Linked DNA regions of Diceros bicornis minor. The protein of the gene in region 1 interacts with the protein of each later gene in a pairwise test. Links are inferred from orthologs where the notes say so. Each region holds a gene or a part of one and is shown in the gene's direction. Other genes may lie near its edges.

Region 1 (4,996 bases):
ATACATAGCAGGCCCTGCATGAACATGTACTGACTGTTATCAGTGAATGGCCGATCTCAACAGCCTTCCGATTGGTCCTGTTCTGGTCTTATCTCCTTCAATCCAAGGACACTGACACGAGGGTGATCTTTCTAAAATGCAGATATAGTCATTCCCCACTTAGATCTTCAACGCAAACCATGCTGGGATGAATATGTGGAAAGTTGTGTATATAAGGATGCTTTTTATAATTTTTTATTTATTTTTTTCCCCCAAAGCCCCAGTAGATAGTTGTATGTCATAGTTGCACATTTTTCTAGTTGCTGTATGTGGGACGCGGTCTCAGCATGGCCGGAGAAGCCATGCGTCGGTGCGAACCCGGGATCCGAACCCGGGCCGCCAGCAGTGGAGTGCACACACATAACCGCTAAGCCATGGGGCCGGCCCTAAGGATGCTCTTTATGGCACTGTTTGTAGGAGGAGAAAATTGGAAATAACGAATATTCGACAACAGGAAATTGGTAATGGCAGCCAGGGTGCATCTAAACAATAAACATTATGTAGCCATTAAAACAGTGCTATAGAATATTTAGTGACGAGTGTTCAATTTATGTTGCTAAGTGAACAAGCTGGTCACAGAACAGTACACACAGTAAGAGCTTCTGTTTTATTAAACAGACAGCACAACAGTCTATAAAGCAAGGGTTGGCAAACATTTCCTGTAAAGGACCAGACAGTAAATATTTTAGGCTTTGTGGGCCATATCTCCTGCACGATTATTGTTTTAATATGAAAGGACTCATAGACAAAATGTAAATGAGGGGGTAGCTCCAATAAAACTTTATTTATGGACGTAGAAATTTGAATTTCATAATCTTCAGGTGTCACAAAATATTCTTTTGATTTTTCCCCAACCGTTAAAAATCATAAAAACCATTATTAGCCCATTGACTGCAGGAAAACCAGCAGAGGGTTGGATTCTGCCTGCAGGCCATAGTTTGCCCACCCCTAGTCTAAGAGACACTCAACCAAAATATTCCCTGTGGACACGTCCCCTGATGATCTGAGGTTATACTTTTCTCCCCTTACTGTGGTCTGTTTTTCTGGAACAATTTCCCCGCAGGTAACTGCACAGTTCATCCCTTCACCTCTCTAAACCTTTGCTCAACTAACACACTTCCATCCAGGTCTGCCCTGAGCACCCTACTCAAAATTGCCATCTACCTACCCATCTCCCTTAATTTCCGCATTTTTTTTTTTGTTTCCCATAACACTTATCACTCTTTAATAAACTAAATAATTTACTTTTTAATATATTTATTGTTTATTATCTATATCCCTCTTTTTCCTCCAACCCCCAAGAATGTAAGCTCCATGACAGCAGGCTTCTTTATTCACTGATGTGTTCCAGGCTCCTAGAATAGCGCCTGGCACATGGTAGGGGACCATTAAACATTTGTTGAACGTTATGAATGACGTCACACTACTTTTAAAATTAGAAACCCAATATACAAAACAGCAAACCTAGAAATCTTCCGTGAGTCTCCATCCCTAAGAAATGAAGTCCATAAACTTGGCCAGGTACTGAGGTCCCTTCCCAGTCCCGCCCACCTCCCCAGCCTCCCAAACCCTCCAGACCCGCCCCCCGCCGAGCACGCGCAGTTCACTCCCGGCGAGACCTCCCAGTGCCACTAGGAGACGCCCGAGCTCGGCCGCCCCCAAAGCACAAACACTAGTCGCACGTGACCCGCAGCGACGTGACCGGCGTCGCACTTGGTGGGCGTCACGTGACGGACTCAGCTTTCCTCCAATCGCTATGCACGTTATGGGGATTCCACCCAAGACCCGGCCCGAGACTTAAAACACCCCATTCTCCCGCCACCCAGGCAGACCGGCTCCCTGCTTCCACCTGGGCGGCGGTGTCTCCCAAGGGTCCTCTTCCAAAGCGTCTTTGGGAGGCCGAGGCCTACAGCGCGCTCAGTCCCGGAAGTGACGTCTCCCAGAGGGGCCGGAAGTGGCAGTGGAGGGAGGGAAGATGGCGGAGGTGGTGAGTCCGGTGCCCGGGGCGGGGCGGAGGGAGCCAGGGGAGGTGGGTAGAGCCCGAGGCCCCCCAGTAGCCGACCCTGGCGCCGCGCTGTCTCCCCAGGGGGAGATAATCGAGGGCTGTCGCCTGCCCGTGCTGCGGCGGAACCAGGACAACGAAGATGAGTGGCGTGAGTGACGTCGGGTGGGCGGGGCTAAGGAACCTAAGGGCGAGGGGCGGGAGAGAGTCAACCGAACCCTCGGGAGGGGGAGGGGCCTCTAGAATCCTGGGGCGGGCGGGGCGCAGATACTCAGGAGGGGCGTGCCTTTTAGCTCCGGGATGGACAGGGCGGGGCTTGGAGAGAGGGCGGCACTTGGTGACTAACGGGGGCTTGGGCGAGAGCTTCCAAGTGCTGGGGCTTAGAGATTCGGCCTGGGGGTGGAGTTCAGGTCGTAGGAGGGTGGAGCATTATGGCCAGGCCTGTCTAAGGCCGCCGTCTGTGCTGTTCCCACAGCCCTGGCCGAGATCCTGAGCGTGAAGGACATCAGTGGCCGGAAGCTTTTCTACGTCCATTACATTGACTGTGAGTTCTGGGCTGCAGTGAGGCGGGGCTGCAGGGTAGGGTTGGGGGGCAGCTTCTGGCATTCCCTCCTGAGCCATCCCCACTGCTGCAGTCAACAAACGCCTGGATGAATGGGTGACCCACGAGCGGCTGGACCTAAAGAAGATCCAGTTCCCCAAGAAGGAGGCCAAGACCCCCACCAAGAACGGACTTCCTGGGTCCCGCCCCGGCTCTCCAGAGAGAGAGGTGGTGAGTAGGTCCCCTGCTTCACCTCTTCTCTTCTGCCTCCTACTTCTCTCATCTCTTGGCCTCAGTGGCTCCTGGATGGGCAGGAGGCAGTGCTCTCCCACCCTGGCTTCAGCTGGCAAAGGACAGGGGCCAAATTACAGATGTAGCTTCGAGTCCAGTGGCTCTTCCTATGTCCTTGAGAGGGCAGAGGGTGGGGTTTAATCATTTCACGCTGAGGGGCCCCTACTCCCTTTTCCATCCCACCGCCAACCCCACCCCAGAGGAAGACCCTGGACCTATCTCTACAGCCGGCCTCCGCCCAGGCCAGCGGGAAGACCTTGCCAATCCCGGTCCAGATCACACTCCGCTTCAACCTGCCCAAGGAGCGGGAGGCCATTCCCGGTGGCGAGCCCGACCAGCCGCTCTCCTCCAGCTCCTGCCTGCAGCCCAACCACCGCTCAACGGTACCCTCAGCAATTCCAGGGACCTTGCTTTCCTCTCAGGTCCCACCTTCTCTACCTTCTGACCCACCTTTCTTGGTTTCTCTCTACAGAAACGGAAGGTGGAGGTGGTTTCACCAGCAACTCCAGTGCCCAGCGAGACAGCCCCGACCTCAGTGTTTCCCCAGGTGAGTCCCCCAAACCATCTCTTCTCCCCTGCCTTTCTTCTGCCCTCTGGTGGCCCCTTTCAGGCTCATCTCACAGCCACTCTTTCTCTTCTTACCATCTTGCCTGCAGAATGGATCAGCCCGTAGGGCAGTGGCAGCTCAGCCTGGACGGAAGCGCAAATCGAATTGCTTGGGCACTGATGAGGTGGGTCTGGGGAAGAGAGAAGCTGTGTGAAAAGTGGAGGACACAGGCAGGGTGGAGTGTTTAGTGACTAGTTTAAAAATAAACAAGGGGTGGTGGGCAACTACGGTATTGGTGGGAATAAGAACCAGGCAGATGGGGCTAGCCCAGTGGCCTAGTGGTTAAGTTCAGTATGCTCCGCTTCAGCGGCCCGGGTTTGGTTCTGGAGTGTGGACCTACACCACTCGTTGGTGGCCATGCTGTGGCAGTGACTCACATACAAAATAGAGGAAGATTGGCACAGATGTTAGCTCAGGGCAAATTTTGCTCAGCAAAAAAAAAAGAACCAGCCAGAGCTCGTTCAGATCAGGCATTGGGTGATCTTTTCCAAGTTTTGAATGAAAACTTCCCAAGTCTTAGTTTGTTTATCTGGAAAGGGGACTGTACTACCTCTGCCATAGGGTTGCTGTTAGGCTTGAATAAGGAAACCGCTGGGAGGGCTGTGTGAGCTGTAAAGTGTCCTGCTTGAGTTGTCTCCTGTAATCTAGTATCTTCCACTGGCCCTGGACAGGACTCCCAGGACAGCTCAGATGGAATACCGTCGGCTCCGCGCATGACCGGGAGCTTGGTGTCTGACCGAAGCCACGACGACATCGTCACCCGGATGAAGAACATTGAGTGTATTGAGCTGGGCCGGCACCGCCTCAAGCCGTGGTACTTCTCCCCGTATCCGCAGGAGCTCACCACGCTGCCTGTCCTCTACCTTTGCGAGTTCTGTCTCAAATACGGCCGGAGCCTCAAGTGTTTGCAGCGTCACTTGGTATGAGGCGTCCTACAAGGCTGCCCTCCTAGCACCCCCCACCCTCCCTCCACCCCTGATCCCCCTCTCTTTCTCAGACCAAGTGTGACCTGCGACATCCTCCAGGCAACGAGATCTACCGCAAGGGCACCATCTCCTTCTTTGAGATCGATGGACGTAAGAACAAGGTAGGGGCTGAGGGGCACCGGGCACTGGGGAAATCAAATGGGCAGCTTCTTCCTGCTCAGGAAAACACTAACTGGCCTGGCCAGCAGAGCAGTTCTCCCCATTTTTATTGAGTTCCTGCTATAGGGCAGGTGCTGGGAGGTACAGAGACAACCAGGAATTCAACAGAATCTCTGCTCTCTGGGATCTCACAGTCCGTGGGGAAAAGACATGCCAACAGCCACTTAGGTGCCAGTGTGCTAAGTGTCATAAACAAAGGGTGGGTTATCAGGACCCAGGGGAGGTGGTCACCAGAGCTTCACATAGGAGGTGACCTTTGAGCCTTGACATGGAGGGTAAGTGGGTATCCTGCAGGGCAGGCCTGGGCGTACAGAGACTGTGTGTGTGAAAGGCCAGGAGCCTTCTGGCTGAAGGGCAGAGAGGATGAGGCC
Region 2 (4,996 bases), on another chromosome or scaffold:
GGTCACACAGCGGCAAGCTGCTGGCAGGATGGGGGCTGGCTGTCCTTCCCTGCATGCCCGGCTGCTACCAGAATCCCACATGCTAAGACATCCAGTCCCCTCTGCCAGAAGGAGGCTGCAGAGCGGGGACAGTGTTCACCTCACAACGACTAGTTGATTGATGTGCCACCGAAAGTCGGGCAGTGCAGACAGTGCTCCTCTCTTGGCCTTGCCACTGGACACGGGAGACTTCCGGAGAGTGAGGAAAAAGGAAAACTCTGTGTGTCATTGGAACAAACTGTTCCTTCACAGAGGGGGACAAATACCTCCGTGCTCACCATGGAATCAAAGCTGTCCCATTTGGCGCCTGGGGCTATAATGCTCCCTGATGGGATTGTTAATCTCATCCTTCCATAGGGATTGAGTTTGTCAGGATGGAGATAACTCCCCTCTCTAGCACCCAAGGGCGGCTCAAGGATGACGTATACAATGTGGATCAGGGTGCTCAAGAGGAAAGCGAGCTCTGCCCACCATGTCCCTCCACATAGGAAGATGCACTGCTGTTCTCCCTGTTCGACTCTGCCGCAGCCAGGCGCGCTCCAGGGAGAGTCAGATCATTCACTCATTCAGCATTCATTAGACAAGTATTCACTGACTATGCCCCAGGCCTGGGGGCCAGTACAAAGATTTTTCAAAACCTCACAGGGTGTTGTACTCCTCGGGTCATCTAGTCCAGTCTCCTCTGAGGCCCAGAGAAGGGAGGTAATTTACCCAATATCACGCAGCAAGTTGGGGCCAGGGCCAGGCTACAGCGCTGAGCTCCTCCAGCGTCCCCTGCACCCACTGCGTGGCCAGGGCTAATGTCACACGTTCTGTAACTCCTACCGGCAGCCCTCAGGTCGGTCACAACCCACATGATAGGGTGGGACGTAACTGTTGGATTTTGTCTTCAAGGGAACGAATGGTAAGAATAAAAGAAAAAACTCTGCCCCCAATGCCTTCAGCCCCTCCCTGGGGCTGGCAGCTGGGGGTGGCCCGCACCCCCAGAGAGGCACAGTCCTCCACCAGAGGCCTTGGCTGCGCTCTCTTAGGGACAACCAAATTCCTAGGCGACTTTTACCATATGTATTCAATTGCGTAGACACTGCTGGTGTGTAGGACTTACATAACTTTGAAAGCGTGCCAACTGCGGTTGCCCTTAAAGATGCTAGTCATTGATGAGCGCCATCCCATATGGTAAAGGGCAGTGGAGACCCCTTACCTCCCACCCCTTCCCCTAACGCCTTTAGACGAGTCTCTGGCTTGAAAAGCGGGACGTTTTTCAACGTGGATCTCCGCGGGTCCACTGCTGTCTGCCATCTAGCTGGAAATGTCAGACACGGTTTACTGGCGCCGCTAACTTGCCAGGTGCCCTTCCGCACGCCCCTTCCCCAGAGTCAATGTCTCTGCCCCCTTCTTGGTGGAGTGGCGCCAGAATCACTTCCAGGTTCCTTCCACAGGGATGCAGGCGCCGGGCAGAAGGGGCCAGAGTCCGCCCGGCCGGCTCCACGTGGCCCGCTCGCGCCGGCGATTTCCTTTTTCTGCCCGAGGGCACGAGGCACTTAATGCCAAGTGCAAGAACAGTTGTGCGTGTCGCGGATGCTGAAATTCGGCGGCGGTCAGCGGCGGGTTTTGCAATTCTGCGGCGGCAGCTCTTGGCCCAAGTCTGAAGGCGGGCGGGCGCGCGCCGGGCGGCGCGCGGCGGGTGCCGGCGCCGGATGCATCGCCCGCGGGGCCCAGCGTCTGCGGCGTAGTGCGCGTGCGCTGGCCTGCCGCGGGCAGGGAGCGGCGCGAGACGGCCCGGGGCTGCGGCGTGGTGCGCGTGCGCGGACCTGCCGCGGGCCGGGAGGGGCACGGCGCTCGGAGGCGCTGACGTCGAGCCGCCCTCGCCCCCCGCCCCTGCGTCCGACCCCGGGTTGGCCGCCGCCGCGCCCCGCCCCCCCTCGGAGGACGCCCGGACGGAACCGATCGCGGCTGGTTTGAGCTGGTGCGTCTCCATGACGACACGCGCGGCGCTATAAGTAGCGGCGCGGCGGCGCGGCGGCTTTGTCAGTCAGCTCAGCCTCCGCCGCCGCCGCCCGTCTGCCAGCGCTCCGGCGCCACCTCGGGCCGGCGGTCCTCCGCGGGAGGGAGCGAGCGGCGGGCGGGTAGGCGGCCGACGGGGGCGGCGGGGCGGCCGACGGTCCTGCGCGCTCGCGGCGTCTCCATGGGGCCGGCCCGCGGCGCCCGCGCGCTCTAGGTAAGAGGGGCATCCCGGCGGTTGGGGGGCTGCAGGGGAACGGCCACGTGTCCCCTCGCGTCGGGACGGGACCGGGCCGGATACAGACCCGGAGCCGCGAGGGACACGTGGTCGCAGAGCCGGCCGCCGACCCTAAGCTTGGAGAGCCGCTGCCTTCCGGCCCCGGTTCCCCCGAGAAGCGGGGCCCGGCCTGCCCCTGCCTGCCCCGGCTCGGGGCAGCCCGGCCGCAGGGGCCGCGTTTGCCCTCCTCCGAAGCACGCCGGGAGGGCTTCGGAGCCGGAAGCTGTCGGGAAGGCCCGGTCGTCCCTGCAACCGCTATTCTTTTTTAGCCATGTGGCAAGCGCGGTAGCAGGTGCAGGAGAGGAATGAAGAAGCAGGCCCGTGCAGGTCCCGGGGTTCCCATCGCTCATCTCGGTTTTATAAGGATGAGACGTATCATTCTGCCTTGTTGCCCTAGAGTTTCTTTTTCTGTTTTGTTTTGTTTTAGTTTTTAGTTTTGCTCTATGTACAGAGCAAATGACCCGATATAGAAACCCGCCGGAATTTTTAGAGCTAAGATAGCCTTGTAGTAGCTATGATAATAAATACTCGGCCAGCCGTGACTTAAAATTGTCTATTTAAGGAATCTTTGAATGACTTAGTGGTTTTAGAAAAGCCTAGAATATTAAGATCCCAGTTCAGGCGAACGGACTTACAAGTAGGAGCCAGCCCCAAGGGTTTCAAAAAAGGCTAATTGTGTTGTTTGAGAATCCTAAATGATTGATGAAAGTGTGGGGAGCAGAACGTTTTAGAAGTGTCTAGGGAGGACAAAGAATGTGTTGATTTTATTCACACCTAAAATTGGGCATAATTTAGTTGTGAAATTTTTTCAGTTTCTATTTAAATTAATCCCGATCTCTTCTAACATTACCCAGTTGGCAGTAAAGAATTTCATACCAGAAAAGTGCTGTTTTGTGCTGATCGATTGATTCGATTCATCATTTTAAGTTATACAGCTATAGAGAACACCAAAAGGTGTTGTTGGGTGAAATTTCTCTATATTGCAGGTTGTTAAAGCTTTTAAAAGATATGGGAAAGCAAAATATTTAATAGTGGTATATTTGAAAGAAATAAAAACTTACCATGTTTAAGCCTGTACACTGTCTTAAAGACGTTTAACAAAACCCTAAACCACCTAATCTGTCACCGCCTGAGCCTATTCAAATGTTATTTAAATAGTCAAAATGGGTTTGCTGGCGTTAGTCTCTTGCCTTCCGCTAGGGGTGATTTAGACAACGTAGGAGGTTGACAGTGCCAGAAAGTCACATTAAATCAAGTCTTAAAACAAGTTTCAACGTGCATGGGTTTGGATTTATGGCAGGCCCGTCCCCCTGGGCCTCTCATAGTGCCCCATGCCAGAGCAAACTGGCCCTGAACCATTGCCTGGCCTCTGTGCCCGTAGGCTGCAGGCACTGAAGCGGGTTGCACAGTGGAAAAGAAGAAAGCCCTACCTGGCAGGAATTAAATAGGTTAAAATCAGTAATTTTAAGCTATTCACCAGTGTCACATTTCACGAAGGCTAAGTAAGGACAGTGGCTCTGATTGCTTCAAGCTTTATTTTTGCCTATTCTTAGTTCATTTATGCTTGCTTATTTTGTTATTCATTAAGTTAGCCAAAAATTATTCCCGTATGATTATCATTCTTAGCTAAGCGAATGTTAGAGTGCCTGTAAGGACAGTTGGGGTTCCCAGAATTGCTAATTTAGTAGGCAACACTGGTTCAAGAATGCTGATTTCTGATCAGATTCCGCAACTGGCAATACATTATGTTGATCTGAAGATGGCAATTTTTAAAAATACATGCTCAGCATGAAAATTAGCTCATAAAAGTCTCAGGAAACTTAAGAGCAATCAGTAAGTTGAGAGCACTAGGCATTTCCATGATGCCTATTAGACACTAAAAATTATTTTGTGTAAGACTTAGTGAAAGTAGGAAATAGCAGGATGTTTATATGGCAACACTCAGTAGTTCCTGTAATGCTATTTTAAGCTTCTGAAGAGCTGAAACAGCTCTGAAATAAAAGTAAGCTGACCCTCGTAAGGCTTTTTTCCGTATCAGTGAACTAAATGCAGAAAAGCTTCTGAAACCTGCATTCTGTGTTTTTTAGTGTGAATATTTGAAATGCTTATTTTGAGATTCACAGCACGGTATATGGAATTGTAGTGTGCTGCTTTGAAAAAATCTGAAGTGTTGACTCTGTGGTGTCCTCAGATACTGTAGAGGTTTTTGGAGTCCTGTGACTTACACTAGGAATACTGGGATTCCCAGACCCTGTGAGGGAGCTGTCTGGAGGGTGCTTGAGTCGCTCTGTGTGCTCGAGAGAGCAGTGCCTGATCTTTCAATTTGATGTGTTCCTAAGAAGGTGGACAGCAAATTCTGTGTTTGTTTATCAGAACATTTCCCCTGCTGCGCCGAGGGCATCTTCAGTAGGACTTGGGAATTTCTGGAGAATCACCTTTGTGAAAAGCTGGCAATACTTCCTTTAAATTCCATCCCTTAGTTTTCCATGTAAGTATTCATGGTTGTTGCAGGCTAGTCTTGTTAAGATTTACTAAGTATTGCTGAGGCTTCTGAGTAAATTTCTCCACCCTGTTTGCGGTTTGTTGTGTTTCAGAGGAACATCAAGAAACCATGAACAACTTTAGTAATGAAGAGTCTGACTACCATTTTCTTGATGAAGGCTTTACTGCCAAGGACAT
Region 3 (4,996 bases), on another chromosome or scaffold:
GGAGACTGTGTCTCCCAGGGACTCCTCCCCATGTTCCAGGGTCTGCAGGAAGTCGGGCCCCCCCAGGTGCAGGCACTGCTCTGTGCTGCCACCTGAAGCTGTCCACCCCCTCCACCTCCCCACGTCTTCTCTGCTGAGTCACCTGGAGCAGGAGGCAGGGAGCCTGCTGTCATGACAACACTGGTGTCTTTGCTGTCATGACAACAGCAGACTGCGTCAGTAGTGCTCCTGGGCACTGAGCTCCCTCTTTTTGGCAGAGAACAATAATCAAAAATGACAAGCATGAGGCGAAGGGGAAGACAGTACCTCAGACACTTGCTTTGGGTGGTGCAGGAACATGGAGGGGCTCCTAAGGCCCTTGTCAGGAAAGGGTTAATGGTCCTGGTGGAGCCTGAGCAGGAATGGAACAGGAGCAGCTGAGTCCACTTCAGCAGACTCTGCAGTGTGGCGCTTCCCATCTCCTCTCACCGTTAGGTGCCCTCTGGCCCCGTTCTTGCTGTTCATGAAAAGCCTGGGCACCAATCATGCAGATGGCTGCCAGGCACAGGCACAGGCACAGCCGTGGCTCTGGGGCCCCAAGGAGGGAGGGCAATCCCAGAAAGGGAAAGGACTGGGGCTGGAGTCTGGGTGTGCGACAGCGTCCTCTCTGCCTCTTAAGCAAAGGTTATCACCAGGCGGGCTAAACTTAGCCTGTCAGTTAGAAAAGGGGGCTGGTCTCAGGTTACGCTGGGCCAGCAAAGAGGCCCCAGGATCCCTGTCCCCCAGCACCTGCTGATAGGCAACGTCCATTCCATCCCACCCCCTTCTAAACCCTCACTCCTTTCACGTGCTCAGAAGCAGTCCTTTCTCCAACCTCAGCTCACAAACTTGGCACAGCCAGGCATCCTGACCCCTCGCGGAGGGGAATGGATCCTCTCCTCTACCTCACGTGTGGGAAGGGGCTGGGGACCTGTTCCCACCATGTACCCAAGACCTCCCATTTTTTCCCTACTCTGGACTCCTCACCCTGCCCCCAACAGCCCCGGGCGGGCGCAGCCAGTGAAGGGGAGTCCCTGGCTCCAGGGCTGGGCCGCACGTCCCAGAGTGGGGAGGGACTTCCGCCCTCACGTCCCGCTCTCTGCCTTGGGCTGGAGGGGTGAAAGGGGCATTGTCTCCAAGCCTGGGCGGCGCGGCACGCGGGTTTCCCAGGAGACACTTTGTGGGAGGCACCACCCAGCCCCCAAGAGTGATCCGTCCTCCCGCTGGGGCCCTGGCCTGGGGGAGAGCATCTGGTGCACACAGGGCCTGGTTTGTCTGCCCCAATTATCAGGTCTCCAGGCTGCCCGAGCTGCAGGACAGCGTGACCTTCAGCGCAGAAACCCTCCCCCCCGCAAACATCTTCCTGAGCCTCCTTCCTCTCCAGGCCCCACTGCCCAGTGCCCAGCCCAGGCCCCCGGCCCAGAGAGGCCTGGAGCCAGGAGATGGGGAGGAGGAAGTGGGGGCTGGGAAGGGCCCCGCAGAAGGCGGATTGGCCCCTCCCCGGCCTTCTACTTGGCTGTTCCTATGTCACTACCGAAGAGCCTCGAGGAGAAGTGCCTCAGCCTTGGAAAGAAGGGGGAGGGGGTGGCAGTGTGCAGCCGCCAACGTGACCCGGGCTCCGGCTCCAATTCCTCATCCCACCAGCTCCCAAAATCTTCCCGTTTCATCCGTGCAGCAACTTTAACTTCCCTGGCTCCTGGATATCCTCAGTTCTCACCAGGACCACTGTCCTCGAGTCCACAGTCTCCTCATGCCACAGTCCCGTCCTAGGCACCATCACCGATCACCTCCCCCATTGGGCCAGTCTCAGTCCCCTCCCCCTCTCTGTCCCTAGCCCACACGCGTGGTGCGGGCACATCTGAAGAGCCGGCGGGTTCAAAAAAAAAAAAAAAAGGCAGGCCCGGCTACTCGCGGTTTTACGGGCGCACGTAGCTCAGGCCTCTGCGCCCCAGTGCCGGCACTTGGGGGCCGGCAGGAGGCGGGGCCGCGTCGCCACGCCCCGGCCCCCCTCCCTCGCCTCTATAAATTGGGACAGCAGTGTGCGACTGTGCTCTCTGTTCCTGCCCGGTCCACGGATAGCCGTGTTTCTTGCGCAGTGCTAGGTAAAAACAGGCAAAGCGGGGCCACCAAGGGCTCAGGAACTGTTCCGAAAGGGGCGCGGGGCTTGCGCAGGCCAGGAGCTCGGCTGCGCGGTGCGGGGTCGGGGTGTGCGCGGCCGGGCCTCCGCATTGCAGGGGCCGGACGTGCGGAAACGCGGGTTGGGAATGGACGCATGGGGGAGGGGAGCGGCGGGGAGGGCGACGGCCGGACTCCAGCGCTTCCCGCCCCCGCGTGCTAATGCTCGCCTTCCTCTTCCCGCAGCCGCGTCCCCGGGACACGATGGTGAAGGTCGGAGTAAACGGGTGAGTTCGGGAATGGGCTGGGTGTGGGGCATTGAGTTCTGCGGCCCCCAGCAGTTTGCCCTACCCGGATCTCTGCGAGCGGGTGGGGAAGGTGGGTGGGATGGTCGAGCGACCCCACCGAGGAGAACTCAAGGTCAGCGCTCAGACCTGGCAGAGGCTCCCGCCTCAAAGGGCCTCGTGTCTCCCGCCCCCAGCTGTTGCGCTTGCTGTAACTCCACTCCTGCAGGGACAGCTTGCCCGGAGTCTTCCACTCCACCGACCATGGGCAGACGAGTCCCCAGTTCTTGCTTTGGACCCATCCCCTTAATCTCCTAGCTGGGGCTTCTTTTTTCCTTTCGCGCCCTGCGAGGTCATGTGCTGGAGAGGAGCCTCTCCCCCCACCAGCCTCCTTCCCCTCACCTAGCCAGGCCCAGGCCCAGCAGGGGGATGCAGAAGGCACAGCGTGGGAGGGTTCATTTGCGGTAACCCAGCCGCCATGTTGCAACTGGGAAGGAAATGAATGAACCACCGTTAGGAAACCTGCCTTAGCTCTTCAGTCTTCCTCCTCCTCCCTTGCCTGTGACTAACCCTCCAACTCCTGCCTCTATGGGGTGGAGTCGCCTTTATCCGGTAAAGTAGGTGAGGCAAGGCTTTCCTCGCTCTTGCTTTCAAAAGAGCTGGACCTCAGAACTGGGACCATATTAACCCTGGACCATCCCTTAAACAACCAGCTGAATTTGCCCTCAGGGATAATGCTTTTCTTAGATGATTCTCTGATGGATCAAAAACGGGGATTTATGGGGATCCTCTTGCATGTTTTTTTGGGGGGGGGAGCTGTGGCAGCGGTGGCTTAGTGCCATGTTGGGGGAGCTGAGTCATGGGGAGTTAGAAATTTTCCACCACAAAATGGCTCCTGCAGCAGCAGCCCCTTTCTTCATCGGCCTCTCCCTGAAGCGCCTTTCTTTCATCCATGCCTAGAGCTGACCCAACCCCAAAGGCCAGGCCGTAAAGGTCACTGGGAGGATTAGGTGTCTGTGAGCCTTGGGAATCCTGCCCTTCTCCCTATTCCATCTTCCAGAAACCAGATCCCCACTCCACCCTAATCTGAGGTTAAATATAGCTGCCTGACCTTTCTGCAGCTGGGGGCCTGACCAGTCTGCTCTCTTCCACCTCCTTCTCTCCCACACACATCTGTTGCTACTGCTCCTGATTTTTGGAAAAGAGCTAGGAAGGACGGGTAGTTTAGCAAATTAGAGCCCAGGGATTAGGGGCTTGAGAAACCATGTTTTCCCTGTCTCCTTCCCTTTTGTGGGAGGGACTTGGAAGATGGGTGGGCTTTCCTCATCCAGTTAACTTGCGACCTTTACTCTTGCCCTTTGAGCTTGGTGATGCTGAGTGCACAGTCTTGCTCCTGAGAGGGTGTAGCCTGAAGTTGGGCCAGACAGGAACAAGCCTTCCCAGGGCAGATAGCTGGGGTGATGAATGCCATGTGCCAGGCATGTGCCCCAACTTTGGATGGCAGCAGCGTACCCTGCACTGCTGTTTCTCCTTGAAGGACTTCAGATGGCTAGGGGGTGGGCAAGTCTGTGAGCCTGATCACCTCTTGGAAAGGATAGGAGCCTTCACTTTATGACTAAGCTGTGCCTGGAGGAAGATAAAATTAGACCTCTTGGAGCTCTCTGGTGGTGGGATGGCCATCTTCCCTCTGAAAGAGGATGAGTTGGCCTAGGGCTGCTTACATACATGATAGGGTAGAAGTCTGTACTTCCTCCTCCTCATGCCTTCTCACCTTTTGTCTCCCTCAGATTTGGCCGTATTGGGCGCCTGGTCACCAGGGCTGCTTTTAACTCTGGCAAAGTGGATATTGTCGCCATCAATGACCCCTTCATTGACCTCAACTACATGGTGAGTGCCGCCCATGCAGCTGGTATGGGGAGCAGAGCCTGGCTGAAGCACAGTCCTTTGATGCCTTCATTTGTTCCTCCAGGTCTACATGTTCCAGTATGATTCCACCCATGGCAAGTTTCATGGCACAGTCAAGGCTGAGCACGGGAAGCTTGTCATCAATGGAAAGGCCATCACCATCTTCCAGGAGTAAGTATGGAAGACGAAACAGGAAGAAGAAATCTGCCTTTGGGGAGGTACTAGAATGGGGTGACCACCTTGGGTACGTGGTACCTCATGTCCCTGAGCTTTGTCTTGTCGTCCTTTGTAGGCGAGATCCCGCCAACATCAAATGGGGTGATGCTGGTGCTGAATACGTTGTGGAGTCCACTGGTGTCTTCACTACAATGGAGAAGGCTGGGGTGAGTGGCAGGGAGGCTAAAGAGGGGGGAGTTGACCCTGAGATTTGGTGTAGCAGAAAGGGGGCAGGGGGCTGGCTTCAACCTGGAAAGATAGAACCTGGGTTTGTAATGCCTCCTCTACTGCAGGCTCACTTGAAGGGTGGAGCCAAAAGGGTCATCATCTCTGCCCCTTCTGCTGATGCCCCCATGTTTGTGATGGGTGTGAACCATGAGAAGTATGACAATTCCCTCAAGATTGTCAGGTGAGCATGGCGGAGGGGAGTTGAGAGGGGAATGAAGGAGTGGTCAGAT

What was found.
Region 2: the proteins of KAT5 (region 1) and ODC1 interact in binary tests that used the Homo sapiens proteins (3 or more experiments, as listed by UniProt). The two-hybrid records come from large-scale screens. The link is inferred for Diceros bicornis minor from reciprocal best matches to the Homo sapiens genes KAT5 and ODC1.
Region 3: the proteins of KAT5 (region 1) and GAPDH interact in binary tests that used the Homo sapiens proteins (3 or more experiments, as listed by UniProt). The link is inferred for Diceros bicornis minor from reciprocal best matches to the Homo sapiens genes KAT5 and GAPDH.

Annotation. Positions count from the first base shown.
Region 1 is NC_080770.1:7,514,289-7,519,284, reverse strand, and holds the start of KAT5 (histone acetyltransferase KAT5), read left to right. Parts: upstream 1-1,819; 5' UTR 1,820-2,014; coding exon 2,015-2,192; intron 2,193-2,516; coding exon 2,517-2,585; intron 2,586-2,676; coding exon 2,677-2,813; intron 2,814-3,073; coding exon of another isoform or gene 3,074-3,100; coding exon 3,101-3,256; intron 3,257-3,345; coding exon 3,346-3,420; intron 3,421-3,529; coding exon 3,530-3,604; intron 3,605-4,151; coding exon 4,152-4,400; intron 4,401-4,477; coding exon 4,478-4,567; intron 4,568-4,996. UniProt on the Homo sapiens protein: Catalytic subunit of the NuA4 histone acetyltransferase complex, a multiprotein complex involved in transcriptional activation of select genes principally by acetylation of nucleosomal histones H2A and H4.
Region 2 is NC_080751.1:69,739,863-69,744,858, forward strand, and holds the start of ODC1 (ornithine decarboxylase), read left to right. Parts: upstream 1-2,123; 5' UTR 2,124-2,257; intron 2,258-3,594; exon of another isoform or gene 3,595-3,728; intron 3,729-4,690; 5' UTR 4,691-4,805; intron 4,806-4,911; 5' UTR 4,912-4,928; coding exon 4,929-4,996. UniProt on the Homo sapiens protein: Catalyzes the first and rate-limiting step of polyamine biosynthesis that converts ornithine into putrescine, which is the precursor for the polyamines, spermidine and spermine.
Region 3 is NC_080756.1:55,148,985-55,153,980, reverse strand, and holds the start of GAPDH (glyceraldehyde-3-phosphate dehydrogenase), read left to right. Parts: upstream 1-2,059; 5' UTR 2,060-2,120; intron 2,121-2,379; 5' UTR 2,380-2,397; coding exon 2,398-2,420; intron 2,421-4,204; coding exon 4,205-4,304; intron 4,305-4,386; coding exon 4,387-4,493; intron 4,494-4,614; coding exon 4,615-4,705; intron 4,706-4,831; coding exon 4,832-4,947; intron 4,948-4,996. UniProt on the Homo sapiens protein: Has both glyceraldehyde-3-phosphate dehydrogenase and nitrosylase activities, thereby playing a role in glycolysis and nuclear functions, respectively.